4 linked regions of the Alligator mississippiensis genome follow. The protein of the gene in region 2 purifies or fractionates together with the protein of the main gene of each other region. This does not show direct contact. Links are inferred from orthologs where the notes say so. Each region holds a gene or a part of one and is shown on either strand. Other genes may lie near its edges.

Evidence for each region.
Region 1: the proteins of RC3H1 (region 2) and CNOT9 purify together in Homo sapiens (affinity purification with mass spectrometry, with the first as the bait; 4 studies listed by BioGRID). This does not show direct contact. The link is inferred for Alligator mississippiensis from reciprocal best matches to the Homo sapiens genes RC3H1 and CNOT9.
Region 3: the proteins of RC3H1 (region 2) and NUFIP2 purify together in Homo sapiens (affinity purification with mass spectrometry; 3 studies listed by BioGRID, with this or other methods). This does not show direct contact. The link is inferred for Alligator mississippiensis from reciprocal best matches to the Homo sapiens genes RC3H1 and NUFIP2.
Region 4: the proteins of RC3H1 (region 2) and CNOT10 purify together in Homo sapiens (affinity purification with mass spectrometry, with the first as the bait; 3 studies listed by BioGRID). This does not show direct contact. The link is inferred for Alligator mississippiensis from reciprocal best matches to the Homo sapiens genes RC3H1 and CNOT10.

Annotation. Positions count from the first base shown.
Region 1 is NC_081827.1:253,766,869-253,774,236, forward strand, and holds the start of CNOT9 (CCR4-NOT transcription complex subunit 9), read left to right. Parts: upstream 1-4,357; 5' UTR 4,358-4,443; coding exon 4,444-4,467; intron 4,468-7,368. Other genes in the region: USP37 (ubiquitin carboxyl-terminal hydrolase 37), read right to left, coding at 2,481-2,636. UniProt on the Homo sapiens protein: Component of the CCR4-NOT complex which is one of the major cellular mRNA deadenylases and is linked to various cellular processes including bulk mRNA degradation, miRNA-mediated repression, translational repression during translational initiation and general transcription regulation.
Region 2 is NC_081828.1:48,049,083-48,056,591, reverse strand, and holds the start of RC3H1 (roquin-1), read left to right. Parts: upstream 1-4,499; 5' UTR 4,500-4,817; intron 4,818-7,509. UniProt on the Homo sapiens protein: Post-transcriptional repressor of mRNAs containing a conserved stem loop motif, called constitutive decay element (CDE), which is often located in the 3'-UTR, as in HMGXB3, ICOS, IER3, NFKBID, NFKBIZ, PPP1R10, TNF, TNFRSF4 and in many more mRNAs.
Region 3 is NC_081837.1:1,384,050-1,391,839, reverse strand, and holds the start of NUFIP2 (FMR1-interacting protein NUFIP2), read left to right. Parts: upstream 1-4,779; 5' UTR 4,780-4,845; coding exon 4,846-5,008; intron 5,009-5,446; coding exon 5,447-5,545; intron 5,546-7,790. UniProt on the Homo sapiens protein: Binds RNA.
Region 4 is NC_081828.1:142,098,242-142,105,403, forward strand, and holds the start of CNOT10 (CCR4-NOT transcription complex subunit 10), read right to left. Parts: upstream 3,020-7,162; 5' UTR 2,812-3,019; coding exon 2,757-2,811; intron 2,485-2,756; coding exon 2,390-2,484; intron 1-2,389. UniProt on the Homo sapiens protein: Component of the CCR4-NOT complex which is one of the major cellular mRNA deadenylases and is linked to various cellular processes including bulk mRNA degradation, miRNA-mediated repression, translational repression during translational initiation and general transcription regulation.

The sequences.
Region 1 (7,368 bases), on a different chromosome or scaffold from region 2:
ACAATCTGCATTTGTTTGCCATGCCTTATTTCAACTAGATTGTAAGGCCTTCATGGCATTTCCTATTGTGTTCCCGTATAGCACCTAAGTCAAACAAGTCTTTAAGCAGCAGTGTAACATAAGGAGTATGAAAAGCTGCTAAAATCCGGAAAGACAAGGTTCTTTAGGTAAACGTGATCTTATTAGACCACTAAATAGTTGGAAAAATTATTCTTCACAACCAATTATTTAGTTGGTCTAAAAAAAGATTATCACATTTACCTAAAGAACCTTGTCTGTCTATGCCTTTAGACCAACACGTCTACAGCCAACAACTCTACAGCATCTAGAAAGATTTTCTTCATTTCTTCTAGAAGTTGACTGCTTAATTCTCTGATGAATTTGAAACGGAAGATGAAAAAGGGCTGACACTTCTGCCAAAGCCTCATGTAAGAGGAACCACTATTGCAATGCATGTGTCACCTGACTGCTGAGAATTTAGTCACGTACATTTTAAATCACCACTGCAACAGCTTTCTGTCACTTGCGATAGATAAGGCGTTCAGCATTGTTTATCTGCATTTTTATATCAAAACGTTCACAGAACACATTGACAGCACAGGACAGAGTCTAGACAGCAAGCAGGTAACAAGGCTGATAAAAGGCTTAGAAAGCAAGTCACATGAGGAGAGGCTAGAGCTGGGCATGTTCAGTTTGTGGAAAAGGAGACATGACAGCAGCCTTCAAATAATCGAAGGACTGCCATAAAGAGGGAAAGCTTCTTTTTTCTCTTGTTGTAGAGAGGAGGGTGCAGACCCATGGCTTGAAGTTGCAGCAAAGTCAGTTTAGATTGGATCTCAGGATCTCACCACTACGCTGGGAAGGAGAGGATTACTGGAGGGTTCAAGGAAAGGCTGGATGTGCACTGGGTGGGAAGGATCTAGGTGCAGCGATGCCCGTGCTCTGCTGTGGGGGTGCTCCGGGCTGCGGGGCTTTGCTGGTTGCTCCCCCCCTCCCAAACTTTCTGCTGCATGTGTCAGTGGGTTTTTAAGCCTCCCTTCGTGGCACTGGGTGTTGGCTGCAACCCAGGCTGGAGATGGGGATTGGGCTGTGCCAGTGCACTTGCTAGGACTTCAAGCCTGACGTTCCCGCTTCCTGTCTCTCTCCCCCTCTCAGAGTCAGACCAACATCATATCTGGGGTGAACCTTCCTCTGTAGCAGGGGGATATGGTCTTCTTTCTGGGATCTCTTGAGCATATATTAATAACCTTTATAGAAGCAGGCTGCTAGCTGTCATAGTCCCCTTGCTTCACCCATGGCAGGTTTGGGTGTGACGCCTGGTGTTATGTCAGGGGTGACAATAGTTTTACAAAGAGTTTAGATCATGACTTGTACAGGATGGTTGGGATAGGGATGATCCTGCCTCAGGAAGTGGGTTGGACTAGATGACCTGGGAAGGCCCCTTCCAGTCCTACTTCTGCCCTCTATGATTTCTACAACAAGAAATTTAATCTTCCCATCAATTAAGCTAAAAATCTCTGCCAGCAGTGCAGTAGCTTGCTGCGCATCTAGGAAAACAGATGCAACAGGTACTTCCTGAACCAGTAAATCCTCCCAGTCCCTTCTAGGTACCACCACTGCCCAAGACTCATGAGGTCAGAAGGACCTTACCAAGTACACAGTAATACTTAAGGGAAGAACCACGCAGAATTACACTTTATCTTACATGGGTCCAGTCCATTACAGCAATTCCCAAGAGCTTTTAATGCTCTTTCCTTCAATTCTTTGTCTGTTTGGGATTTTTAGACAGTACGGGTTCTAAAGAGCTTACAATCTCCTCACGTAAGCTGGACAAAATGTACGTAGGGCACCACTGCATTAAAAATAATAAATTAAGAGAAACAAAAGGCAAATGAAAGGAGGAAAAATAAGGTTGACTATTGGAAGAGATTTCTCGACAGCAAGCACTCTCAAATCTCCAGAGAGAGATGGTGCAAGTCACACTGCTTGAAGCATTTAAAACTTAGTCAGGCCAACACTTTGAAGATGAGCCTCACATCAGTAAGCAGAAAGACTACCAGTAGATCCACACTGGAATTTTTCAGCATTTCAACTGGGAAAAGCACCAGAGTAGAAAAGGCCCCGAGGTCCCAGTAGACTTTCATCTCGATTGTGTAAGTGTATCAGGTGAAAGGGTTTGGATTTCCAACAAGCTGAGAGGCCAGGTGCTACACAGCTCTGTCTTCTTTTCGTGGTTTCTAGGTCTCATTTCTTCCCAATTAATGGTGCGCTCCCTGCCTGGTGTGGCAGTTCACCTACCAGAACACCTGAATAATTTACAGCAGGGTTAGACAAAAGGATTAGTGTGCTGGAAACGAGGAACAAGAAACAGTCTCAGAGGGAAGTCTGTGTGACACTTAATAGTCTCAGAGAGGACAGCTGGTCACAAAAGGGCACAATCTATGCACAACTCAGACAAAAAGCCTCGATAGTTGGTGTACCTGAAATGTCTTTGGAATTCCTCCAACATTGTAGTGAACCACTAGACTCACTTTGTTGTCCTTCTCCACTATTTCAAAGCTTCCTTCTTTCCATTTTGTAATCCCAGTCTGCATACTACGCATCCGGACGGGGCCGTGTACCTTCAGCGGAGCCATGTTGTCTTGCTATTAAACTTACAAGAGATTGCGTTGGCTCCACCTTGAAACCTGTCCAAGAGAGACGTACAATTGGCAAATAAAAATAGCTGTGGAAAGTGTAAAAAACATTTCTGGGAGGTACAGCAACAAACCGATTTCATGTTATTACCTCCAGATGCCTGCTGGACCAAAAAAACCCCAATTTTCAGAGCATTAATTATTTTACCCTCTGAAGATAAGCTGCACCAAAGGGTGTTGAATAGACACCAAAAAAAAATAACCTTGAAAAACCTCCGTGAAAACCCTACAGATTTTCCAAACAAGCCCGATTTTGGCTGAGACCAAATACGTCAAAAGAAAGTTTTCAAGGAAATCTATACCTGCAACTTCTGCAAAGTCCTGGTGAATTTACACAAGAAGCATTTTTTAGGGAGCACCTAACCTCTTTAAAAGACAAAAGTCACGCCGTCATCTACTCGTATTATCGTGACCCCGATCTCCTCTACCGGCTAACCCGCGCTGCGATCGGGATGACACCCAGCACCGCGGGATCCCCAGTGACGCAGGCGAGGAACAGAACGTGAAGAACGACGTCATTGTGCCGACAGTCCGTGACCTCACAGAGGGATGACCCGGACTGACCCGGCCCCGCGCTCGCTCCTGCCCAGGGCGCGGGCTCGGACTCGATGGTGTACTGGGGTCCCGTCCGACCCTAACAACTATGAAACCACGGAGAAAAAAGGGAACCGCTTCCCAAGGGAACCCACACGTAACCCCAAACGCAACCCGTACGATGCTATTCTGCGTTAAAACCCGAGCACGCCGACGGTGCCGTGACGCCAGGACGGCCGATCGGTTTAACGGAGCCGCCGGGCTCCAGAAACGTTTTATAAACGAGGGGGACCCTTTCGCTCTTGCTCATCGGTAGCGACCGACTCGCCTCGACGCCCTCGCAACGTGCCCGGTCCCGAACGCCGTCCGCCGCGGCTGCCCGGGAACAAGACACCATTGTTTAGCCGGTGTTAAAGGGGAGGGAGGGGGGCACGCACCCTCCCGCATTAAAGGGGAAAGGATGCTCTTGTATTAAAGGGGAGGGGGGCTGCACCCTCCCGCATTAAAGGGGAGGGGTGCACCCCCTCCAGCATTAAAGGGGGAAGGACCCTCTTGTATTAAAGGGGAGGGGGGTTGCACGCCCTCCAGCATTAAAGGGGAGGGGGTTGGGGGGCGCACTGTCCCCTAGCAAGCGTGGTGGCCGGCGGGGCGGGGCCGGGGTACGAGGGCCGCGGCCGGGCGGCGGTGAGGGAGCAGAAAGCGGAGCGGCAGACCGGGCAGGGAGCAGAGCAGTGAAGTGGGCAGGGGAAGGGGATCGGAGTGGCAGTCAGGGCGGATGAGGCCCATTTTAGAGGCGGGAGCACTGAGGCACGCAACAGGCAGGGCCTGCGTGTCCGTCCCCGAACGCACCGCCGCGGCCCCGTGTTTGCTGCTCCTCCCCGCAGGTCTGGGGGGGGGGACTCCCCACACCGGGGGGGCAGCTCCCCCCCGGGAGACACCCCGCTCCGTACCTGCGCGCGGCGGCGGCTCCTGAGGGGGCGGGGGGAGGGCTGAAGGCAAATGGCGGGAACCAGGCGACAGCGTGAGGCCGCACGCACGGCGTGCCGACGTCACCGCGCCGCCCCCAGCATGCCCCACGCGCGCTCACGCGCGCTGCCGCCGCCCGCCAGCCCCGCGCATGCGCATGGGGAGGGGTCAGAGGGCGCCGCGGGGGGAGGGCAGCGCGGCGCCATGGCGGCCTCCTGAGCGCGGCCCGAGCCCCGGCGGCGCCGCCATGCACAGCCTGGCCACGGCCGCGGTGAGCCCGCGCCGCCCTGCCCCGCGGGGGACCTCGCTGTCCTAGTACCGGGCGGGCGGGCGGGCCATGGTATTTTTTGTGGGGGCTGGCCGTAGTATTGGCGGGAGGACCTAGCAGCACTGTGGGGGGGTGGTCCATGGTGTTTTGGGGGGAGGGGGTCTGTCTGTGGTGTTTGGGGGGGTGGACCTGTAGTTTTGGGGGGAGGGGGGGCTGCCCGTGGTGTTTGGGGGGGCGGTCCCATAGTTTTGGGGGGAGGGGGGTCTGTCTGTGGTGTTTGGGGGGGCGGTTCTGTAGTTTTGGGGGGGAGGGGAGCTGTCTGTGGTGTTTGGGGGGCAGTCCTGTAGTTTTGGGGGGGGCTGGCCATGGTGTTTGGGGGCTGTCCCTTAGTTTTGAGGGGAGGGGGGGCTGGCCATGGTGTTTTGGGGGGAGGGGGGGCTGGCCATGGTGTTTGGGGGGCCATTCCCATAGTTTTGGGGGGGTGGTTGAGTCCACCTCCCTGCCTGAAGCAGGACCAGCCCTGTGCAAACCAGCCCAGACAAAGCGTCACCGAAAGTGTGTGTGAAACTCGTTGCAGTGCCAGGCCTCGCGGCCAGCCCTGCTCCGGGCAGAGCCGTGGGACCGCGGCTGCTGACCTCCTGCTCCTTTAACGGGTTGTTAACGTGCTCGGGAGATGCTGGGTGGAAGCCGTGCCCCCCCCCACCCCCCCGGTCTGTATTTAGAGGTGAGCGGCAGGCGGTTGCAGAGACGATGCCCTGTTGCGTCCGATGCTGCTTCCTCAAAGGCGTTGATCGGTCGCTGCGTACGAGACCCGCTGCCTTTTTGGATCAGTTTGTCTCTAAAGCAGCGATTCGGAGCCAGGTGCCGCAGCTCCTGGAGATCCTTTCGGGCCACGCAGCATTAGCGCTGTTTGGTGCGTGATCCTGATTCTCGAGATGAACCTGGAGATTTCAAAGAGGAATTCGTAGGCTTACAGCTACTCTGACGGACCTGCCGCGGGCTTTCTTTGCAGCCACAGAACCGCTCTGCTCTCTCTCTCTAGTCATAAATAGTGAGAAATAAGAGCTGGCATTTCCCAAGCATTTAAAAGGGTGAGACCTCCCCACCTTGCCCTGTCTTTTGCAGTACTGTTAGCAAGCACAGTGTCAATTATAGCAACTTTCACATCTTCCATATGTGTTAGAATATCACATTCAGATGGGATTTGCTGCTGTGGGTGTCAGTCAGTTGCTGAGCTAAATATTTAGGCTCAAAAGTGATGTTTGGTAGAGGACAAAACAGAAGTTTGGAGTTTAGTGCTCAGAACCATTGGCTGCAATCCCTACCGTGCTTTTCATCATATACGAGGGGCTGGTGGAGCTTCTTATTCTGTTTTCTAGTCTTCCCTCTGATGCAAAATCACTTTAAAGCAGCATTGATTAAAAAAAAACAAGCCAAAAACCCGCCTCTGGCTGCTACGAGGAGAGCAGGATATTGCAGTAGTTGATTTTAAATATTTGTAGTGGACGTGTGCTCTGGTCACAGCACCTGACAGAATTGTGTCCTCTTGAAGAGCTGCGCTGAAGGTACTCTAATACTGTACGTATATTGTATACTGTATATAGTATGCCTATATATCTGCTTTGGTTAGTCTGTGTGGTGCAAATTTACCCTTCTACTTGACTTTAGACCGACACGGGTAGCTACACCTTGATATTTTAATACTTTCAAGGGTACAGAGGCATAAATGGAGCCTAATTACACCCATCTCTGGAGGGAGCTAGTGGCTGCAACACATCCTGCTCTCCTCGAGGAAGGCCCTGGCTTAGTCCAGTGGGACTAAAGCGGGACAGTCTTATTTTAGGTTGAAAGAGCATTGCCTTTAGAAAGCTGCAGTAAGACAGTCCTGGCCTTTTATGTAGTGCCAGCATTTCGCTTTGAAAACTGAAAATAGCATAGCTCAGTACTGGGGGAGGTGTAGGGGGAGTAGAGATGAAAACAGCTAGCAAAGGGAAGCTTGAAGTAAAAGTAGGGGGTGTGAAAGCACCAAGCAAGCAGACCCAGGTTATTAACTAGAGAGATCGTTCTGGGGTTCTTGTGTTAATTATCTCACCAAAAATAGCTAGGACACAATATTGCCTGGCGGTGTGCCTTTCTCTAAGTGGTCAGTATTTTTAACTTGGATGTTTAGAAAGAGCTGCCTTTTTTATTTTCCCCTTAATTTCTTTTTTTCTTGTGGTTCCTAATTGTCTAAATGAATTTGTGTAACTCTCAGAGTTGTGGCTTGGCCCAAAAACCGGGGGAACACCTTTATTACTGCAAAAAGCGTCATGAGGCCTTTAACGCTCCAGAAGTGATCAGTCCTGGGTGTGGTAATGGATGTCCCAACTCTTGCATACTAAAGGTGCAACAGCAATCAGTCTGGGAAGATCCTAGATGCTCATCTGAATATTTGTGTGGAGTATTTGCATCTAACAATTGAAGTCCTCCCTGAATTTTAGGTAGAGAGTAGAAAAAATGTCTGGTAGTCTGGAAAGCAGCAGTTTGGGAATGTAAGAAATAACATTTCCTCGAGACTTTTAATTGAGTGTTTCAGGGACCGGTTAAATACGATGGGAGGCTGTAAAGCTCATGGAGACCAATTTGCTTCTAATTAACCAAGGTAGTGGACACCATGAACTTAATTGCCTGGAGAATGTATTTAGTATTCTCTGGAGATCTCTGGCCCAGGCTTACACTTCAAAAATTCAGCTTGAACTGAAACTTCCAGCAGGTCTGGCACAATTGGGCTGCACATTTGAGCTCAGCTAAAGGGCTTGCCGCTCAGTCATTCAAACCAAACTCTGCGGTGTTTGTAAGCCTCATTACTGGAGGTGCTAAGAGGATTAGTCTCCCAGCTCTTAACACAGAATGAATGTGTCACTA
Region 2 (7,509 bases):
CCTAGAAGGGCCCTTACTGCCTCATTTCCAGTTCAGAGCAGGTAAAGTGTAAGTGGGTAGGAGGGGCTTATTTTTTGGCAGCAGGTTTGAGTGGCTTGAAGCTAGTGAAGATGTACCCACAATTAGTCACTGACCAGAGTGGGAACATAGGTGTCCTCACTTATTAACATAGCTCCAAGGCCCTACACTGTCTCTGCCTACATGTTGTTCTCATGTCCTCTTGCTTTCCTAAATCTCATGAGAGTAGAGGATTCTCATCATGCCTCCTGGACTGCTGTCACCGGATAGCTGTCCTGGTTCTAAGGTTGTGCTTCTGACTCTCTCATGGCCTCTTTTAGGGTGCACACTTAGAACTCTGGCTTTCCCTTCCTGCCCATTTTGCTGAATTGTGATTATTTCCACGAGGCATGAATTTAGTTCAGTGGATATGATTCTGCTTTCTCATACAGAGGCAATGACTCTCACAAAGTATGGCATATTTTAGTAGGATAAAAACATTTTGAAGGGCACACAGAAAGCAATAAGCAGTCTTTACTCACATGAGCTTACCAGGTATCAATCACCTGCTACTTGGGTTCGTGGCAGGTACAGACACAAGTGTATTAGCACGTTGTTCCAAAGTAAGTCTCTGTGCCATAGCCTACATCAGGTCTCAGATCTAGGGAGCCTGACCCCTCCCCAGCCATAGGCTTGTCACATTATACTAATCTGCTGGCAGGTGCAGACCTGGCTGGGCTCTTCCCATCCCCAGCAGCACATGGGAAGCCAGCTTCAGCTGCATGCCACTTTTCCTGGCCGGTGCTTACCCGGCTGGGTCCCTTCCATCTGGAGAAGCATGCAGCTGAAGCCTGCTTGCCATGAGCTACTGGGGACGGGAGGAGCCCAGCCGGGTCTGCACCAGCCAGCAGAAGTGGCGGCGGAGCCGTGTGCTGCTCGGGACAGGACGAGTCCGGCCAGAGCAGCAGGGGCTGAGCTGCATTTTCCCCCTGCCTGCGCTGGTGAGTCCCGAGCGGCACATGGCTCCGCTGCCACTTCTGCTTGCTGGTGCCGAACAACCGGGCTTCTCCCTACCCCAGCGGCACATGGGAAGCTGGCTTCAGCTGCATGCTGCTCCAGATGGAACGAACCCGTCCGGGTCGGCACCAGCCAGCAGAGGCGGCGGCAGAGCTGTGTGCCACTTCGGACTGACCGGCGCAGGCAGGGGGAAAGTGCACCTGAGCCCCTGCTGCTCCAGCCGGGCTCTTTCAGTCCCCAGAGGCACATGGCTACTCCTCTTCCCACATGCGCCGTGTCGGGAGCGTCAAGCTGACGCGGTGTGTGTGGGAACCTTGTCCCTTCCCAAGCCCTTCAGCAGCCATTAGGAAGCTGCTGAGGGGCTGGGGGAGGAACAAGGGGTGGGAACAAAAGTAAACTGTGTTTACCTTCATTTCTCATTGCAGCATTGCGGGCCACAGAAAACGTCTTGGCGGGCTGCATGTTGGGCCGCGGGCCATATGTTGGACAAGCCTGCTCTAAAGGAACAAATAGGCCTGTGTCACACAGGGGCAGAGAGTGAATGCTGAAAGGGAGAGTGAACTGGGTATGACCAGGGTTTTTTCCATTGTTCCTCTCTCACTTTCAGCCTCCAGCATTTATGGGAGTTAGGGAAGTTTTAATTCAGAGGCTGTATTCCCTACTGATGCCTCTTTCAACAGCTATTGATGCCCCTTTCCTCCAAGAATTGCCCCATCCCTTGTTGAATTTGTTTAAACTGTCAGCTTCCACAGTATCTGGTAGCAGCTAGTTCCATGCTTGAATTACATGCCATGTGAAAAATAACTTCCTTTTGTTAGTTTTAAACTTACTACCTACTAGTTTCATTTTATGGTTCTAGTATAGAGAGAGTTGGTAAATAATAAATCTTTATTTACTTTCTCTTCACCATTTAATATTTTGTAAACCCTTCTAATGTCCCCTTATAGGTGTCTGTTTTCTAATCTGAATAGGCCTAGACTCTTTAGTCTCCTTCCTCATATGAATGCCTCTCCATACCACTAATCAATCTTGTTGCTCTTCTCTGTACCTTCTCTAGTTCTTCTAAATCCTTTTCTGAGGTGTGGGGACCAAAACTGGGCACAGTACTGAAGGTGCAGATGCACCACTGATTTATAGAGGGGTATAACAATACTTACTATTTTGTTTACAGTTCCATTCTTAATTCAAAGGCATTTTGTTTGCCTTTGTAATGGCTGTTGAGCACTGAGATTATGTTTTTAGTGAACTGTCCACAATGACTCCAGAACTTTTTCCTTTGTAGTAACAGCTAATGTAGAGCCCATCATAGTGTAGGTATAGTTTGGGTTATTTTTGCCCATGTACATAACTTTACAGTTATCTACACTGAATTGCATCCGCCATACACACACATATACTGTAACTGTATAAATATTGTATTTGATAATGGTATCTAAGATTCTGAAGCGAAGAATAGCAAATATCGTAGGAAGATCCCACTTGAGGTAGGTTCCAAAGATGATGCCAAAGCTAGTTATTCTTTGTTTTTGGTAAGCTGTTTTGGTTGCATATCACTTAAGTGTTAAACTTTTCAATTCATGACTACTATGAGCAATGAAGCCAGCTCTCACTGTAAGTGCTGTGATTCATCAAACCCTGGATTTCTCTCAGTATGATGAGTATACCACAAGCTTGGAGGTAAGTGCTGTAGATGTTCCAAATTCCAGGCTGTTCAGGCTCTAGTCTTTGATAGGTACCTAAAAACAATTGCATACTTTAAATGAGGGATGGGATTCCTTTACTAAAATTCCTAGAACTAAAAAGTGCTTAAGTAGATAGAGGTAGTTAGCTGTGTTAGTTTGAAGTCAGTCAGAAGGCAGGGCAAGGTGGCACCTCAGAGACTAACTTGTTCTCTTAGTCTCGAGGTGCTACCCTGTTCTGCCTTCCATCAAAAAATGGCAGCTATTATAGCTGCCTTTGTCCAAAATTGAAACAAGAATCAAAACAGTTCAACAGCCCAATACAGGGATATAGAAGTAAGAGTCCAGTGTAACCCCTCTTCACTAGCTTTTTGCCTAAAAACTATAGTTCTGTGTACTTTTTGCTGATATCCTACCCCTGCAACCATAGCATCATAAACCAGCTTTCAGGCCACCATTTGCAGCCAGCTCCCAGACTGCTGTGCCAACTCTTCATCACCTGCAGTTTATTCTGCTCTTTCCTACACACTGGAGGGGGTGTGGAGTCCACTGTATCTCAAACTGGGATTTAAAACAATGCCAAGTAATAATTTGGTAGGTTCATTGCAGTGTTATAACTGATGATGAATCAATACACAACACGAATGTCTGCATTATTTCTTCACTAAAAGGGGTAAAGCCTTAGGGCCTTTCAATTGGGGAACTAAAAAATATAGTTTATTGGCAGATAGCTACACAAGATTTACCTATAGAAGAGGGAGGATGCAAATGTGGTTTTATTTTTAAACCCATTCTTAAAAAACAGTGCGAGTCAATGAACTTTCTGAAGGGACATAGTTGTTAAAATGGTTCTAGTCCTGCAACTGTCTCTGCATGGAGCCCCACTGTGAAATCAGTACGTCAGTGTGGGCATTGGACACTGGTTGTATAGACAGTTACAATCAACTGTTTTAAAAATGATTTTATTTAAAAAACAAGTCTTGGTAAGAGGGGCTGCTGTTTTCTATTGCCACCAATCCCTGCACGACCTCGGACAAGTTGCTTAACCTTGCTGTGTCTCCCTTCACCGCATTTGTAAAATGGGGATACTATTTACCTCTCTCACAGAGGTGTTAATATTTAGCTCTCCAACCACTTTGAAGCTTCAGAGCACCCTACACACATTAAATAATTAAGGGAGGCTTCATTAATGCTTGAAGTTTCTCCGAGTAGAAGCGGTCTGTGGGGCCAGCTATTCTCTGACAAAGGACCCCTTTGTAGGAGGGAGACCTTTCAACTCTCCTGCCTTTATGCAGGAAGGTGTGTCGCAGCTTAGCCCATCTGCTGAGGAAAGGAAGGACTAGGCTTCCCTCGGGTAGGGACACCTGGCATGTGCACCAGCCCTAACAGCTGAAGCCTTCTGTCGCGCCGAGGTTGCCCTGGAGTGCAAAGGAGGGGGAGGGGGAGGGGGAGGGGGAGGCATTCATCTTTCCATCCTCTCTGCACACAAGCACGGGTGACCCTTTGAGGGGAGGGGGAGCCGCTTCCCCTGCCTACGAAAGCCTGAGCTTTGGTGGTGAGGGGCAGTCAGCAAGGGGGGGGGGAGGATACATTAACTGCTCCCCTTGTGAGAGAGGGCTCCGGCACCCGGGGGGGGAGCAGGGGTGGCCCGGGGGGTGGGGGGCGGCAGAGAGCACCGGCTGCAGGGTGTGCGGCTGGGATGACTCCTTCTTCCCGAAGAGGGGGCAGGGCAGGCACGGGTGGGTGCTGGAGGAAGGCCCCGGAGAGAGGGGCGAGTCCCCTTCCCCCCGGGACAGCGGGGCAGGGCTTCGAGCCGAGCCAGTGACTCGGCTTTTTTCCTCCCTCGCCCTACCCCCTCCTGCCTCGGCAGAAGGAGGCCGAGGAGGCGGGGGAGGAAGACGCGAAGGGAAGGGAGAGGGCAGGCGGAGAGAGGAGGCGGCAGACAGAGGCGGCAGGCGCACAAGATGGCCCCTGCTGCAGAGGCAGCGGGGCGGAGGCAGGAGGCGGTGGCCCGGCGGCCCCTGCTGCTGGAGGCGGTGGGCGCTGCGGCCGCCTCCGTGCCCCGGGGCTGAGCGGAGCCGCCGCCGCTGCTGCTGCTGCGGGGAGCCCGGCCCGGCCCGTGCGGTGAGTGTGGCCGCGGGGTCTGCGGGGCTGGGCGGGGAACAAAGGGGCGGAGGCGGCCTGGTCCTGGCCGGGCCCGGCCGGCGTGTGCGCGGGGCGACGGGCCCCTCCCCGAGCGGCGGCCCCAGGGGGCTGCGGCGGGCGTGAGGGCCGTGCCCCTGCTCGCCTCTCTAGGCCGCAGGCTTCGGCCGGCCTCGATTTCAAGGTTCCCCCGGCGGGGAGGGGGAGGGCGCGGCCCGGTGCCCTTGGCCGCGCGGGTGGGGGGCCGCTTGTGTCTTCCCGTGTCGGGGGGCGGACAGGGGGCGCCTCCTGCCGCCGCCAGCGGACGGGGAACAGCTTTGTCCGCCCCCGTCCTCCCCGCCCGGGCTGGGCCCTGCAGATGGCGCACAAAGAGGGGTGCGTAGCGCCGCGCTGCCGCTCTCGGACCGGTCTCTCAACCCCGGGGCCGCCCTTGGCTCTGGGGGAGCCGCACGAACAATAGCGCGACACAGACCCCAAAGCTGTAGGGCCGGGGCCCCGGGGGCCGTGCGATGTGGAGCCGGCACCCCGCGGTGCGCTGCGGGCAGGGCCCATCGCCTCGCTGGCCCGCGGAGTGCTGCGGCCTGCCAAAGCCTGGAAGGAGAAGTGGGACAGCTTCCTCCAAACTGGCCGTGTATTTCGTTTTCTCCTTGCCGCTTCCTTCTCCCCAGCTGCGGTTTGAAAGAGAGAACGTGCAGATACACCCACGGCTGTATTTATCAGTAACTGATATGGGGCCCTGGCGCTGTCGAGCACGCTTACTTCCCGCAGGTAGAAGGCAGCTTCCATGATTTTCCCGGAGCTGAGAAGGGCTGGGCAATCCCAGTGCACAAAGGGGTCCGCGTTGAAATTTCTGCTTGAACCGAACTCTAGCAGTGGTACCACTGTAAAACGCTGTAAAATGTGTAAAACTTAACCACTGTAAAACGTGGAGTCTTGGGGTTCCCCCCCCTTTGTTTTACATGGGGATGCAGTAACGAAGGAGGCTGCCCTGTTGGCCTTTTTTTTTTTTCAGGCAGTAACACCTTTTTATGTTAGGCTGTCTTCCTGGTGATGACTCTGAAGCCTGTGTGCGGCTACTTTTTTATTAATAGATAATTGAAATACATAAAGTCTGCCATGCTGAAGGGTTGGCGGTATTTCTCATTCATCAGTTAAATCAGCTTAGTAATTAGCAATAGCTAATTTGAACATTAATGCAAACTGTACACATAGTTGCCATTTTTTGGAGCTGGGTGGATTGAGGTTAGACTCTCCTCTCTTTCCTTGAAGTTGCCCTTGCTTATTTTTGCTGTCCTAGAAAAGGTCTCTTCCCAGTAGACATGTTGGCATGTTATTTTGAGGGAAGTTGTACTGCTGCTACCAGAACACTCTTGTTGCACATACAACTCTAGTCTCTGTCTGTCAAACCTTTTGAGCAGTGTTGTAATTCATGGGGAAGCAAGTTGTCTGTCTTTTTCTTTTTGCCAGCCTCATACCAAATCCAGGTTAATATAAAACAGCATGCAATAGATATTAGGCTTGAAGCTGGTCTGGCTTGATAGTAACTGTAAGGTCCGATGCTTATTTGAATTTCATGAAATGAGATGATGGCCTCAATACAGTTCTAAATAGTCAAGTGTCTGCATTACTGAAAAATTTAACCACAAACTGAAAAATTTAACAGAGAGTTAAGGACTCATTATACATAGACATTTATTATCTAAATGTGGCCACTTGAGCACAGAAGTGAATTAACTCTGACAAGACAGTTTGAGGAAGCTGCAGTTGCCTTTGTTTTCCATTTAGATGAAGGGTAAACCGTTCCACCTGATGATTTTTCTCATAACTCTCACAGTGTATATTTTAATGTGTGTACACATTCACGATTTTAATTAATTGCTTTATTGTCAGTGTTTGGAAAGAACAGGGAAACAATGGCAGAAATCAAAAACTTCACTGGCCTGGCCTTTTGGACTATGTCCAATTCCATATATACCAGAAAAGTACAGCTAGATTAACAGGCTAGTAGCGTTAAGATTCATTATCTTATGCTTCACCATTATTTAAGAGGAGTGCTATGTGCCATTTAAAAAAACAGGAATTTTTTTTTTCTCTCCCATAAAACTGCTCCTAGTAGGAGCCAGTGCTACACCCTGAAAAGCTTGAATGTCCAGCTTTTGAATATAAGGGATGAAGCTGAATTTTTTTTTTAAAGAATGTTTGAAGTTGGGCTTTCAAATAAGTGGCCCAACTTCTCAAAAGCGCTAATCACAGCAGATTCCCCTGGACAGTTTTAGCACTTTTTTTTTTAATGTTGACCCCTTTCTCAAGTAATGAATGAAATATTGTAATTAAAATAGGAGAGGAACAAACAAAGTAATCAGAATAGCGTGATTTTTTTTTTTAAACTTCTTGTATTTGTGGTATTCTATATTTTAGTGGATAGATGTCTTAACCTGTAAAAGTTTAAATTTGCTGCTCTTGGACCGCTGATTAAGAAGAAAGACTTTTTAAATCCAAACACTTTACAAAAAAATAACTCTATTGTGTCTTTAAATACACATATAAAAATAGCTAAAATATGTACAGAAATTCAGCAAGTAACCCAGTGTCAGCCAATGATAACTCTTCTACCAAAATAATTCTCACTTTCCACCCCCTCTAACCACTCTTCAGGAAAACATTGAGTCAGCAT
Region 3 (7,790 bases), on a different chromosome or scaffold from region 2:
CAAAGTCCTTTGAAGTTTATTTCTTTAGGCCAATTTAGAGGATTAAAAATAAAACACAATTTTTCCAAGTCACCAGTGAAACATCAAGTTAGCTTCTCCTTTCGAGGCTTGTGTCCTAAGCAACGGGAGGTCATTTTATACGTTACTTCTATAAAATGTGAAAGGACTGTTGCTCCTTACAGTTTGTGTAGGGCCTAAAGTTAATTATCAGCTGCAAAATCGGTTTCACTAAACATTAAGCTGCCACTGTTCCTTGTATTGTGTTGCAAGTCACTCGATCTGTGTGGGCCACCTGGCACAGATCTCCTGGTAGTTCAAGCTCCTCAACGATCTAACAAGAAAAATACGTAAATGTGGGTGTTCGAATTCTGGTAGGAGAAGTCCCACCATCTACATATTTAAAAAAGGGGAAAAAAACCAGCTGTGTTTGATTCATAAATTTCCAACTACATTCTGTGCAAGTAAAACTTTAACCCTGCTAGATCTTCAGGGCAGAGGCTGTGTCTTTGGTACATTGCTCAGCATGAAAGGGCCTGGGATTTGGCGGCACTTTTGTATTATGAATATTAAAAATGGCGTATATTTGAATTGCAAAGCCAAGCACTCGGAAGTTGGGAAGTGCCAATGTCAGGGGTGCCTGTGCAACCTCAGTCTAGCCCTCTTATCCACATGCACTAGGCGGAAGTCTTTAATAATGGGGCCATGCACTTCTTTTCCCCCCACAGGTGCCAAGCCTCCTTCAGAGTACAGCATGGATGTAATGCAGTTAGTCAAGATAGGGTTGTTATTAGGTTATGATCCCTGAGCCACCCTTCTTTCCCCTAACGCCAGACTGTCCCTGCCCCACTCCTGTTCTCTTTCTATTGCCTCCATATCTCGCCCCATCAGCCTAGTCCCATCTTGTCTTCTGCCCTGGTTGTCACACCTCTGCATTCAAGTCAAACCTCCTTTGTCTCCACGAGGCTTAGACAGTAGTGCTGCCGAGTCCTGAAAGATGGAATTTGCCAGGCATGCCTCAAAAAGTTGCTTGACACTCCTAGGCAGACCTTCCAGTCAAAATGTTCCCAGTCATCACACCCAGCAAACAGATACAGGAGCCTTGACACAACAGTTTGTTGCTAGGATCTCCCCAAAGCTGCTAGATCCCATGAGTAAATTGCCAGATTGGTAAGACCATGGGACACCATGGAGGAGTTTGAAAAGGGGAAGCTCTCCGTGCTGTCAGCGCTGTTTTCCAGCACCGCCACAAGCCGGGATGGACAGGAGCAGCAGAGGCAGGAGCAAGTCCTATGAGCACCTTCAGCCCCCAACTGAAGCATGCTCCAAACATGCAATGCTCAGAAATTTAGGCCGGACTCTAACAAACTGAATATACACAATGGTAATCTTCAGAGACTTGTAAATCAACTGGATTTGGGTGGATTTGCACAGCAAAAGCACCGCCTTAGCCCTTTCCCAACAGGCTCCCCCGCCCCACAACACAGACACGCATCGAGTTTCACATCCCCTGCTCCAGAGTGTTTCTACAATTTATTAACAACGCCAGCATGAACATTTTGTAACACTGGCAAAACGTCTTTTCCCATAACATTGTTCTCAGAAGTGGCAGAACTATTTTTGATGAAACTTTCTACAAATGTAGCACGAGGCAGACACCGGCCAGAACAACGTCAGTCTGAACAGTTAAAGTTTGGCAACACTAAAGCCAAGCCATGAAAAGCCATGAAAAGTTGTAGGGAATCTTAACGGCAGATGCTGTCACTAGCTCCGTCTGTAATACTAACACGTTTCAGATTAGGTCCTCGGAGAGGCCAAACAGTATAGGGTACAACCCAGCAACTTCAAACAATGATAATGGAGGTTTCAATATTTATAAATAGAATTTTAAACAGCCTCAAGCAGAGAAACACAAGCATGTTCTCTGTTTATATACTTGACTATTTACATTCATTTATAAGTATATTGATAGATACTTTAAGTATATTTAAGTATAGTGTAAGTATATTTATATATACTTGACTATTTATAAAAGTCTGATATGTAAAAGAAACTCTGCTTCATCTACAGTCACTATTGCAATTTAAAGCTGGGCTAATGTAATTTCAAGCTAATTGAGTCAAATATCTCTTTTTGCACTCCCATGTTTGGGGAATTGTGTTGTTATTTTTATTTCTTTATGGATTTGTTCACTGTCCCAGAAGCCCGTGGTGCTGGGCACCGAACATAAGCCCTGTCCCAAGGCACTTCCATTCAAAGTATAAACCAGGAGGCTTTTTTCTCCCGGGAAGAGATGCCTTCACCCCGCTGTACAATTACACAATGCAGTGTAAATTCTGATCAGAGCCTGGACCCAAGTTGGCACAGCTGACAAGCACTAGCTCTAGGTTGGAACAGCATGGGCATTCGTTGGCACAGCTGTGAGGGGAAGCACACCAGGGCTGTCCTGCGAGATGAATGGGCCTCCAACTAGTCTTGGTGCCAGATTCAGCCTGACTGCTTTGTGTACTACAGTGGTGAATAGGCCCATAACCAAGTACAGATCTTCTGCACGTTGTGTCACTTCGATCTCAGTCATTCAGAGTTCCCTCCTACCTTCCCTGTCTAAAATGTCTAAAATAATCTGCTGCTTTGAGATGCACTTTACTCTGGAAAGTTTCTTGTAAGCATAAGGAGTCAGCATCGTGGTACCATGTTACCCCCCCAAAATCCCAATTCACTTTCTTCAGCATAAAGCACTGATTTACTTTCTCTGTCTAATAGGTGAGCGAGGTCCTCATGTTCTCCAGTGGAACAGAACCAGGACTGGGGGGAGAGGAGGAATCACTCGCTTTAGAGCCACTTCAGAAAAAACATCAGACACTCACAGCGTGGAGCAGAGAATTGACTGCATGCAGATTCGCTGCAGAATGAAAATTTATGCCAACGAAATACATTTCATATTCAAAACCACAGTGTGTGCGGACAACGCTCATTTTTTCCTTATTCATATAGGTATTAATGAGTGATGAATGCATTGTTGCAGAGGGCAATGAACATGGTTGGGGGCTGGGGGACAGGACTGGTGAGGAGAGGCTGAGGGAACTGGGTTTATTTAGTCTGGAAAAGAGAAGACCGAGGGGGATTGACTAGCAGCCTTCACCTCCCTGCAGGGGGGCTGCAAAGAGGCTGGAGCTGGACTGGTCTCAGTGGGGGCAGACGGCAGGACAAGGAGCAATGGGCTCAGGTTGCAGCAAGGGGAGTCGAGGTTGGATATCAGGATACACTTTCTCACTAGGAGAGTGGTGAAGCACTGGAACAGGTCACCCAGAGAGGTGGTGGTGTCTCCATCTTTGGAGGTTTTTAAGACCTGGGTAGACAAAGCCTTGTCTGGGATGATGTATTTGGGGCCAGTCCTGCTTGGAGCAGGGGCTCGGACTAGATGCGACCTGCTGAGCTCCCTTCAACCCTCATTTTCTATGATTGTAATTCTAAGGTATTGCTTCTCTTTATTTCCCACTTTTCCACCCCAAGTTTTCCGTTGTATCAGAGTGAAGAGAGGCATGGTGGCTTTGGTGGTTAGAGGCAGGTAGCAGGCTCCCTGAGTGCTTTGGTGCTGCATTCTCTGTCTCCAGTGGAGCTGTGTCTGACTGAACCGGCTTTCTTTCCTTCGCACGCCGCTGGAGGAGCTCTAGAGTCAGCCGGAGCGCTCTAGCTTCTCCAGCCTCCTCCTCTGGTGGAACAACTGCGGAGTTTGATTTGACTCTGGAGTCTGCACTGCTAGGACTGGAAGCAGTCTTTTCCCACCGGAGTAACCCCTTGGCTAAATCACATTCAGTTTGATATTTTTTAGTCATTTAAGCTATATTCTGCCTGGACCAGGCACCCCTCAACCTCACCAACTTCAGTGCAGTTATGTGGACAGTGAAGCAGGCTTGGGATCCTCTACGTTCAACCCCTCGCCTCCTCTCATGTGATCCCGCAGAGAAACCACGACCTGAATTAGTTGGTGATATGCATTTCCAGGATGTCAGATGGTGAAGCTGCCAGACAGGGTTGCGGAAGACTTCTCCGTGGATGGATGGAGGGAGAGGTGTCCTTCAACCCCCCAAACAGCTAGGGGAGCGGAGTAAGTGGCTGGCTGCACAGTGATGTGGGTGGGAGGCATTTGCTCCGCTCAGCTCAGGCCCATTATCAGCACCTAAACCTGCACTCTTGGTACCTAAACCGCAGTTCCTTATGGTGGCACCTCCTCGGGGGGCAGATAGGACCAGCACCCACCTCCCCAGTCCCTGCTCCCCTGCGCAAAGACAGGAAAAGCTCGTTTCGACTCGCCAGGGAGGAGCTCGTTTCGGCTGGACAAGGGGGGTCATCTTAGACTGGACAAGGGGGGGTCTCGTTCAGACAAGCTCATCTTAGACCCGTGCGAGGACAGGGCTCCTGGTGACTCTGCCCTGAGACTGGATGCGGGGCTCGCTTAGCCTAGCCGAGGCCGGGCTCGTGGTAGACTGGAGCGGGGCTAGTGCGAGGCTTGTTGATGTCACAAGGTCCTAGAGAGGAGAAGGGGGAGCTCGTCTTGGACTGGAGGAGAGGGCGGTGCGCGCCTGAGGCAGGAGCCCCCCCGGCCAGCTGCTCCTCGACGCGGCGGGGGCTGCGGGCGGGGGAGGGGGCCGTGCCGGGGCCTCCACGTGCGCGGGGGGCGGGGCGCGCGGCGGGCGGGGGGCGTGGCCGGGGCGCGGGGCGGGGCGCTTCCTGATTGCCGCGCGGCGCTGTCAGTCGGGCCGAGCCGAGCCGAGCCGAGCCGAGCGCCGCCGCCCGGGCCCGCACCGCCCGCCCGCCCGCCCCGCACCGCCGCGCCGCGCCGCGCCCATGGAGGAGCAGCCCGGGCAGGCGCCGCCCGCCGCGCACCCGCACCCGCACCCGCACCACTACTACTACTACAACCACCACCACCACCCGCACCCGCACCCGCCGCACGACGCCAAGGCCGGGCCCAAGAAGCACCACGCCGGCCCAACGCCCAAGCGACCAGGTACCGGGGCAGCCGCCCCCCGCCCCGCGCCCCGCGCCCGCTGCCCGCCCGCCCGCCGGGGAGGGAGGCGGAGGAGGAGGCGGCGGCGGCGGCGGCGGCGGCGGAGGAGGCTTCCCGGCGCTCGCGGGCCGCTTCCTGTCCGCCATGTTGGGAGCCGGCCCGGCCGGGCCTAGCGGGGCCTGCTCCCGCCCGCCCGCCCAACCCGGCGCCTGCCCCGCACCGCCCCGCCCCGCCCCGCACCGGGGGCGGCGTCCCACCCCACAAACCCCCCAAATCCCCCCAACCACCCCCCCCCCACACACACACACACACACACGCTGCCCCAAACACAGCCCCGTGGGTCTGGCCTCGCGCCTCAGGCCGGGCCGCTGCCCCCCGCCCAGCCCAGCCCCGCGCCCCTTCCTCCGGCCGCGTGTCTCCTGACGTTTGTGTTCGCAGGTTGGCCCGCGAGGCTGTACAGGACCTGGTACATCTCGGAGATAGATGTCAAAGGGCCGCAAACCTGCAAGCTAGCGAGCGCTGCGCAGTCCTCCGGAGGTGGGCATGCCGTCGGCGCCGCGGCCGGGCCCCGCGCGCGTGGGTGCGGGCGGGGACCGCGCTCCGCAATACGTCGGGCTTTCCTTTCCCCCCCAAAAAAAGAAAAACGCGGAGTTGCGAGCGCGTTCGCTCGGCTCTCTTCGCCCGCGTGTCCGACCCGGGCGGTCGGAGGCGCCGTGTCCGACCCGTCCCAGAGCGAGACCGTGGGCTCCGGAGAATATTTTTATGCAGCCGAGTTGTAAACGCTTGAAAATTGGAAGTGCTGACCCACGGGCTTCGGGCAACCCAAACCGAATCTATTGCAATCTCTCCGGCTCCCCGAGCTCGGGGGACTCGGGGCCGCGCGCTCTGGGTGTCGCTTCGTTAAAGAAATCCCAGCCCGACTCCCGAGGAGGCTCGCTGCCTCCTTATCTCCTCGGCCAGTTCCAGCAGCCTACGCTGATTTAGGTCGAAGCGTTGAATTAACGCTACTGTTAATTAGCATTATTACTAATAGCAACGTGTAGGGGGGGAAGTGGTGGTGGTAGATGTTCGCCTGATTAAAAAAACCCTTTTCTCCCCCGTTTGGCGAGCTGAGCCCTGGCACTCCTGTCGGTCTCGCCAGGTTTCGGCGCTGCTTGCGACGGGAGCGCTTGAGTGCTCGGCATGGGAGGCCCTTCTCTACTGAGTGACCTCTATTTTTATTTTTTAAAACCAAAGGAATATCTTTGTTTCGAGCAGGAGTTTTCGCCATGGGCACGTGCGAGACCTGGGGCCTGACTCGTGTTTGCATTCTGCTGGCTTTACCCCGGTGAATCGGGCCTCGGGTACTTTCACGGTGGCGAGGGTGTTGGAGCCGCCTCGCTCCCGAGAAGCGTGACCAGCGCTCGGGTCGAGGCTCCGGACACGCCGGGACATGGGTGGGTGAAGGGGGCTCTGGTCCCACTCCCACTCGGAGTGGGCTGGGCTAGCTGGCAGGAGAGGGATCCTTCATGGCGCTCTGGCTCTTTGCAGATAGCCCGGCATCGTTTGTTCTCCGGTTGCGTTTGCCATCTCCTCTGCGCAGCCACGAGGACGAGCCGCCTACCTTCAAAGAAACAAAAGCGGGATATTCTGATGTAATCCCTTGATTTGGCCGGCTGGGGCCACGGGCCGGGGTCAAGACAGTGTTTTCCCTGGGTGTTCTTGTCATTCTGCTTTTTTTGGAGTGGGCGGGCAGACAGGGATGGGAAGGCCAGTGGAAAGGATTCCCGCAGCAGTGTTGTCACCTTCTCGGAGCTAAGCACCTCACCTTGAGAAGCGTAGGTGGGAGCCGTGCCTGTTGCTGTCGGCTCTGTTCTGAAATGGAGCCAGGGAATGTTCCAAGGGAGAAGCCTCCGAATGGCTTGCTAAGATGCATCTGGGAGGTAGATGTAGGGTTTAGCCAGAGGCTGGGAAGCAGAGCCGGGGCATGGGCTGGGCCAGAAAATACATTTTGAGGAGCAATTACGAAGGTGGAACTTCTCGAGTGCATCATTTGGCAGTGAAGTGGAGAACACCCTGTCCATCACGGGGGCCTCTGCAGGAGTTTTGCATAGTAATCAGGGTGGGGAACCACTTGCCTTAAGCATCCTTCAGCTTAAGAAGCATTACCTTAATTCTTTTTTAATAGGGGAGTATAGGACCTTCTTCTTTCCCAAACATAGCGAGCCTGTGGGCTTTGGTTCTCATTGGCTGATTCCAACCCGGAGGTGTCTGTCACTGATGTTTGTGCACTGACCTCTGTGGCAGTCCTTCTCCCTAGGCACATGGCAGGCCGTGGAGGGGATCGGAGTGAGGAAAAGTTGGCCTTTTGTTCATAGGATCCATGCTACATCTTCAGAAATAGGCCTGGTGCAGAGGTGGATAGTTCCTCTCTGCAGCTGTAGTTTCTTGGGAATGTTTTAAAATTTGCAGGCTCCAACAGTCTAGAGCAGGGTTGTTGCAGTCTCCACCATGGTGATTATTTTTTTTCTAGATGTATCCTCCTTCCTTGATATCGCTACAGCGCTTTGCTTGATTCTTACTTTTGTAAAAAGCCCAGAGATGCACTGTGTGTCTGTGCGCTAGAGTCAATGGAGTAAGGTTCCCTTCTCGTGGTGGCTTTCTGGCTTGCTGCCTTGCACTGAGGCAAAGCCGAACCCTTTACTGTGGCTTTTAAGTGGCAGGGACACGCTTCCGCTATACGAAGGGCAGACATTTTTCTATTTTAAAAAACCTGTTTGAGGAAGCCGGGTCTGTTTAGGGC
Region 4 (7,162 bases), about 94 Mb from region 2:
AGCTCTTTCCTAGTCCTTGAACCAGGATATTGATAGAAGCATCCCTTTAAATTCAGGCTGCAGACACACAGATCCTAGTCCCAATTCAGGTTGAATGGTTTAATCAGAATCCTAGAAAATTAGGGTTAGAAGGGACCTCACAAGGTCATCTAGTTCAACCCCCTGCTCAAAGCAAGACCATTCCCAACTAGATCAACCCAGCCAAAGCTTTATCTAGCTTGGTTTTGAAAACCTCCAAGGATGGAATTACCACCACTTCTCTGGCTAACCTGTTCCAGTGTTTTACTACCCTCCTAGCGAGAAAATTCTTCCTAATATCTAACCTAGACTTCCCTTGCTGCAACTTGAGATTGTTGTTCCTTTGCTAGACTCTCTCCAATTTGTCCACATCCTTTCTGTAGTGGAGACCCAAAACTGAACACAGCACTTCAGATGTGGCCTTACCAGTGCTGAACAGAGGGAAATAATCACTTCTCTTGACCTACTGACAACACATTTACCAAGAGTCCAGTAAGCCGTTAGCCTTTTTGGCAACAAGGGCACACTGTTAGCTCATATTCAGCTTACTGTCTTCTGTAACCCCCAGGTCCTTTTCTGCAGAGCTGCTGCCCAGCCAGTCAGCCCCCAGCCTGTACTAGTACATGGGATTGTTCCATCCTAAGTGCAGGACTTTGCACTTGCCCATGTTGAACATCATGAGATTTCTTTTGGCCCAATCTTCCAATTTGCTTAAATCACTCTGAATCCTAGCCCTACCCTTCAGCATATTATTACTCCCCCCATCTCGATGTCATCTGCAGATTTGTGGTGGGTGCACTCTTTGTCATCTTCCAGGTTGTTTACGAAGATGTTGAACAAAACCAGCCCTAGGACCAATCCCTGGGGTGCTCCACTTGATACCAGCTGCCAGCTAGACATCGAGCCATTGATTACTACTGTCTGAGCCCAATGCTCCAGCCAATTTTCTATCCACCTTACAGTCAATTTATCCAGCCCATACTTCCTTACCTTGCTTGCAAGAATGCTGCGGGAAACCGTATCTAAAGCCTTGCTAAACCCAGGCACTGGTAATGTTTTTGGGCAGAGTGCCAAAAACACCTTTAACCTTAACTTGGAAGATGTTGGCATGCCAGGGGTAAGTGGAGGGGGAGCCATAAGGGGCCCACAATCCTTGTTATGGCAGCACAGCCCTGCTCCCTTCCCCACTGTCCATGCCAAGGCACACAAGCCAAGCAAAATGCCTTTATGTGCCATGCTCTGGCACCTGTGCCAGGAGTTGCCTACCCCTGGTTTAGCCCTTCACAGGTTCTGGTCACCTTGGACAATACTTATTAAATCAAGTCTAATTTAACTGCTTCCTACTGTACTTTGCATTACTCTTCCACTCTGCCAACACCAAGTAACTTGAAAATAAGTGCAGTAAATGAGAAAAAAAAGTGCTGGAAGTAAGGCAAAACTGTTAACAAGGTTATCTGACATAACTCCATACTAAAGGAAAACTGACAACTAGGAGTCTAGATTCATTTTGTCTGCATTCATCACTACCTTACAACCCGTTATCTTTTCTTGTGCTTAGAGGATTGTTAAAGTCTTATCACACATAGATGAGCAAAGTACGTTTGGCCAATTGTAGAACTGGAGATGAAACTAAAAGGAGATCAAAGTCAATTCAGGTATGAATAATTGTAAGAAATTCTTTCACTGTATCCCCTCAGGACCCCTTCCCATCATGTGAAGATCATGCCTCAAATGAGCAAAAGGGATATTAAAAACAGGACAGGTGAATGTGGAAACATTTAATACTGGGTTATGATATTTTGATCATTCCCCAGTCTTACAAATAAATCTGTTCATTTCATGTTAACAGCTTAGAAAAAATATTGTGCAGTGCTGACTTATGATAATACAAAATGGACAAGGAGGATGAAAGATAACACATTTCAAATTATTTAGATAATCTACATGACCCAAAAAATAATGGCTTACACAAAACGAGATAGAGAATAAGAAATGTGCACCCACAAACTATGGAGTAAAAGATTCAATTAAAAAGCTTGCTGTCTGAGTGTTTCCAGGACTACGTATATAAGCTTACTTTGCCAAGCTCATGACTGAACTCTGGGAACCAAGAAAAAAAAACCAAAAACGTGCTTGCATTTCTCTGTTTAGGTAACCCTAAATCTAAGGGCTCTATTTCTTCTTATTGTCTGACAACAGATATCAAAGTTCATATAAGTGATGGTCATTATTTCATAATGCTGCTGTTAGAAAGTAAAACAAAATTAGTATCTCAGTACATGTCCTAATATTCTAGGAAATATGGGAATAAACAGGTAAATGTTGAACAAAATTATATAAGAGAAATCTTTAAACTGAAGACTTTTCTTACCACAAAAGCCTGTAGTGCATTATTTGACAACTCCTTTTCCTGATCAGAAATTCCAGAAGTAGTAGTGGCTCCTTCATGTTTCTCAGTTCCCTGATCTGTAAAATTAAAAGGGTTAGAGAAAATAGATAGCTTTCATCATATGTGCAATTAAATTTAATAAAAATAATTCAGTATCTTTATTACATATTTCATTCCTCCCTCCCTCAAAATCCATTTGTTAATACTTAGGGCACCTTTACACATAACTACAACACTATCTTTGCTAAATTCAATTTGGAGAGTACAACAACTTTGGAGTTTGAGTTGCTCCCCCCAAAATATCTGGAGAATTTTTTTACATTGTAAAAAGTACATTTTGTTTACTTACATTTTGATACCAGTAGCTGGTAAAAACTATTGTAGGAATCTCTCTCATTCCGCATAGCTACCTAATTTAATCTGTATGCTACTACTTGTCCCCCAGTTGCTAAGTTCCCTTAATGTTAAGAAATGTAGCAAATGTACATGCTAAAGATGACTAAAAATAGAAGCAAAACGCTCCACTGCTATGCACTGAATATACAATCAGAACCCCAAAAAGAATGTAAAATTCATCTCACAGAACTATTCTCAAATAGGTTTTCCTATTCAGGAAATATATTTCAGATTTTGCATTATTAACTTAGAAGGGGTTAACTTTTAAACTGAAAATGGATGAAAACAAATATTCATTGGTTGGTATCTCTTAAGTGTTAAATCGTTTGGAATAGGTTGTCTGTTACAGATCTTCAGTAGCTAACATTTAGCATGAATGTACATCATTTGCTGGGACGATAGAAGGTATCGCATGGGTAGGAAGATAGACACTATTTAAGGTTACATATTTAATATTTTTTGTTCACCAATGTATATGCACGTTAATTGACTGGGGTGTGCCAGTGCTCCTGCTGGAACCTGCCAGAGGTTCCTGGCTAGAGGGCCTTGTCCGTTCACCGAGGGTCAGACCAATTTGCCAGAATTGGGGTCAGGAAGGAATTTTACCCCATGGTCACACTGTTACAAACTATGGGGGTTGTTGCCTTCCTCTGTAGCAAGGGGCATGACCCTGACCCTCTATCTGGCATCTCTTGAGCATATGTTGATAACATTTCACAGAAGCAGGACACTGACTGCAATGGCTTCCCTGCTTTACTTGTGGCAATTTACGGTGTTAGGTCTATATTATTTCAGGGCTGACTTGCGTAGAGTTTAGATTATGGTTTGTATGGGACAGTTTGGATAAGGATAACCAACCTGCCTCAGGCAGGGGGTTGGATTAGATGACCTCTGGAGGTCCCTTCCAGGCTTACTTCTCTATGATTCTACAACATAGAAGGACACATTTCAATAACATCATCTTATTTCTAACTTAAAATTTGAGCCCACAATTCAAAAACTAGAAACTCACCAGAGCTGAGGCCAACTGTGAAAGTCACAACAGAGAAAACTCTTCAGATAAAAAACAAAGTTTATGATAAGATCACCTTAAGTACCAGCCACAATTCTGAAGATTACACAGGAAAGAGACTAGTTAAATACCTGGGGGATCTTGGAATTCTACTCAATGTAATATTTTTTAGATTTACCTTTCATGAGTGGTGCTCAAGTTTTGGCCCCACAGGCGGGATGAGCAGTGTGGGGCTGGATTAGACCCTGGGACATGGTGCCACCCTCTTCTGCTAGGATCAGGCCTTAAGGCTGTCCCTTCCAGGCCCCCATGTACCAGGACTGGGCCCTAGGGTTCCACATCCCTGCCAGCCTCCCTGGGGCCCTGTGCCACCTTTTCCCAGCCCTGTGTGTTGGGATCAGGTGCCCAATACAGCACGCAGGACTAGGGCTCTCCATGGGTCTGGAAATTTGGCAGGGAGTGGTGCCACAGATCCCTCACTGCCAAATTTCCAGAAACACAGGAAGCAGTGTGGACCAAATGACATGACACTGCTGGTTGGATCTGGTTGAGCACCCCTGCATTAGACCTAAAACCCTGCATCTGCCAAAGCCCTTAGCTAGTCCTACCATCCATTCAACAAATGAGTCAAGGAAGCTTGAAAGAGTTTCTACAGTTTCTTTCCAACCACCACACATGCTCACAGTACAGAAATTAGACAGAATCATAGAGTTGGAAGGGATCTCAAGTTTCATCTAGTCCAGGCTTGTCCAACATACGGCCCGCTATGCGGCCCTCCAAGCCGTTTTCTGAGGCCCGAGGTGCTGTGACAGGAAACAAAAGTAAACAGTGTACTTTTGTTGGGGGGGGGGGGGGGGGGGCGCACAGGGGGGAGGTGATGTGATACCGCTTCCTGCAAGATCTTTGAATCTGGCTCGCCTGCCCACTGGGTGATAAAACGTTCACAATCCGGCCCCACATTCAAAAAGGTTGGACACCGCTGATCTAGTCCAATCCCCCTGTGAAGCTATAGGATGCAGTATTACTAAACCTTCCAATACAGATACCCATCCAGCTTCTTCTTGAAAACCTCCAATGAAGGATAGTCTACATCTTTCTCAGGTGGCTTGCTTCATTTTCTATAGTTCTTAGAGTTAGGAAGTTTTTTTACTGGAGATTTAATTTCAATTTTCTTTACTGCAATTTAAACCCACTGCTTTGCATTCTGTCATCTGTGGTAAAAGAGTACAGGTGTTCTCATTTATGGTCACCTTTCAAATATTTGAAACCCGCCATCATGTCCCCTTAATCTCTTTTCCCCAAATTAGGCATGCCCACTTCATTCTCTCAACATTGCATGACAAGATTGTCAAGTAAAAGCCAGAAAGTTAGTATTCTATAAATCAAAGAAGAACAAGGCTGGAAGGTGATTTAATCCAACTGCCTGCTCAAATTATCTCAGAAGCTAAACCAGAAAAACAAAATAACCTGCATTTAAGAACCTCCAGTGATGGATATTCCACAACTTCTCAAAGTAATCTGTTGCTGTACTTATCCAACCACATAGTTAGACAGTTCCTCCTAACGTCCAACCTAAAGCCTCCCATGTTGCAACTTCAGCCCATCATTTTTGGCTTTTTCCCTTGTGGACACAGTGAATAGTTGGTTGTCCTTTTTGTATTCTAAAACTTCTTATTTGTACTAATGGCAAAATAATTCTCTAGGAAGTAGTTAACAAGAACAACTTAGAAGATTAGGTTTAGGAGAACGTGTTTTTTAAATATATATACCCTTAAAGAGCAGGCAGCCCTGGCAGTGACTAGACTATTTGTGGAACATCCTAGTAATCCTCTGAAGTCTTAGGATATAACACCTCTTTATTGGGCTTGATTGAAGAAATCAAGAAATTATTCAACTCATTTCAGCAGCCTTACAGCTTGCATTGTTGGGAAGACCCAGATACCGCTAAACTCTGCTCACTACAATATCTAAATTAGAAAAGTCAACGTCAACTGTCCTCCACTGAATCATTCCATAACCTCGATCCATTTCTCCTACTTATTTCAGCTCATTTCTGGAAGCAGTACTTTTTTTAAACACACAACAAACTAAAGTATCTGCAGAAGACCAACCTGAGCTCCAGACAGCTTTGATATCAAAGCAAAAACTTCTTAGATGTAACCTCATGCAACAGAAACCTTTCCCCTGATATTACATTAGAGATTGGATTCCCTGAAGACTCACCTAGCCTAAACAGGCCACAGACTCGCCTGCTCATTTGCCATCCACTCAGGTTAAGAGATGCATCAGAATCTATTTCCTCCACAGCTAACAGCTACAACTTCAATGCGAAAGGTATCCATTTGCCACCCCAACCTTTCTTTTTAACCCTATTTTTACATCCCTTCCAATTGGAAATTATTTTTTATCAGTACTGAGCAGGATAATTTCTTATCCAAAATAAATTTGCATCCATTGCCACACCTCTTCTCTGCTCTGCCAGACAAAGCCACCATTGGCCAGCAAAATAATGTAACATATCTGGTTCAAAGCTTGGACCACCCACTGACCTGGTCCAACCACTGGAGCTCGTTCTTTAAGCAAATGAAGCCGAACTCTCCAAAACTTCTTAGTTATTATAATCCTCCATTTCCAACAAACAGACCAAGTTATTTTGTGCACCCAGCAGGGAAAATGTGTCCTTTACAAGATCATTAAATCTTGTCATAATTTGTCCCATGCTGCCAGAGTTCCCCAAGCAGACAAAGAGGTACAGAAAGAAAGCCACCATTCCTTCAGATGGTTCACCTATAGGTAACAGCCAGTATGCAGTGGCGACAAGCAGCAAGTCAAGAGAGACACTCAAGATGTTGAGGATTCGAGCTCAATGGGTGACTATCAGGTAAGACTTCTCTTTGAGCCAACTGGTTACAGTAATAACCACATCTTTCTTAGTATCTTAAGTACTGGGCATTGATTTTCCCCCTCATGAAGAGTTTAATATCTAAAAAGCTACTTCACCACATGCAAACACAGTTATCATCCCATGCAATGAAGGTTCATCCATGCCACACGCATTTCTGCAATGTCTGAACTGAAAGAGACTGTGCCAATCATTTTCACAAAGAATAAGCAATCTGACATAGTGATTATAGCATCGCTTCTAGTAACACAGTAACTACGGCTAAACTGGTTCCTAAGATAAACCCTTGTTTCACTGAATTTCTCTATGGTCAAGTTGGCCTCACAAGTTTCTAACCAGAAGTAAAATGTTTTAGCCTCAACCCTGTGAGAATAAAGAAATAAAGTTGGTTTTAAGTCAATCATCCATGAAAAGTAGATGGAGGATTTTAACAACTAAGAAGCTT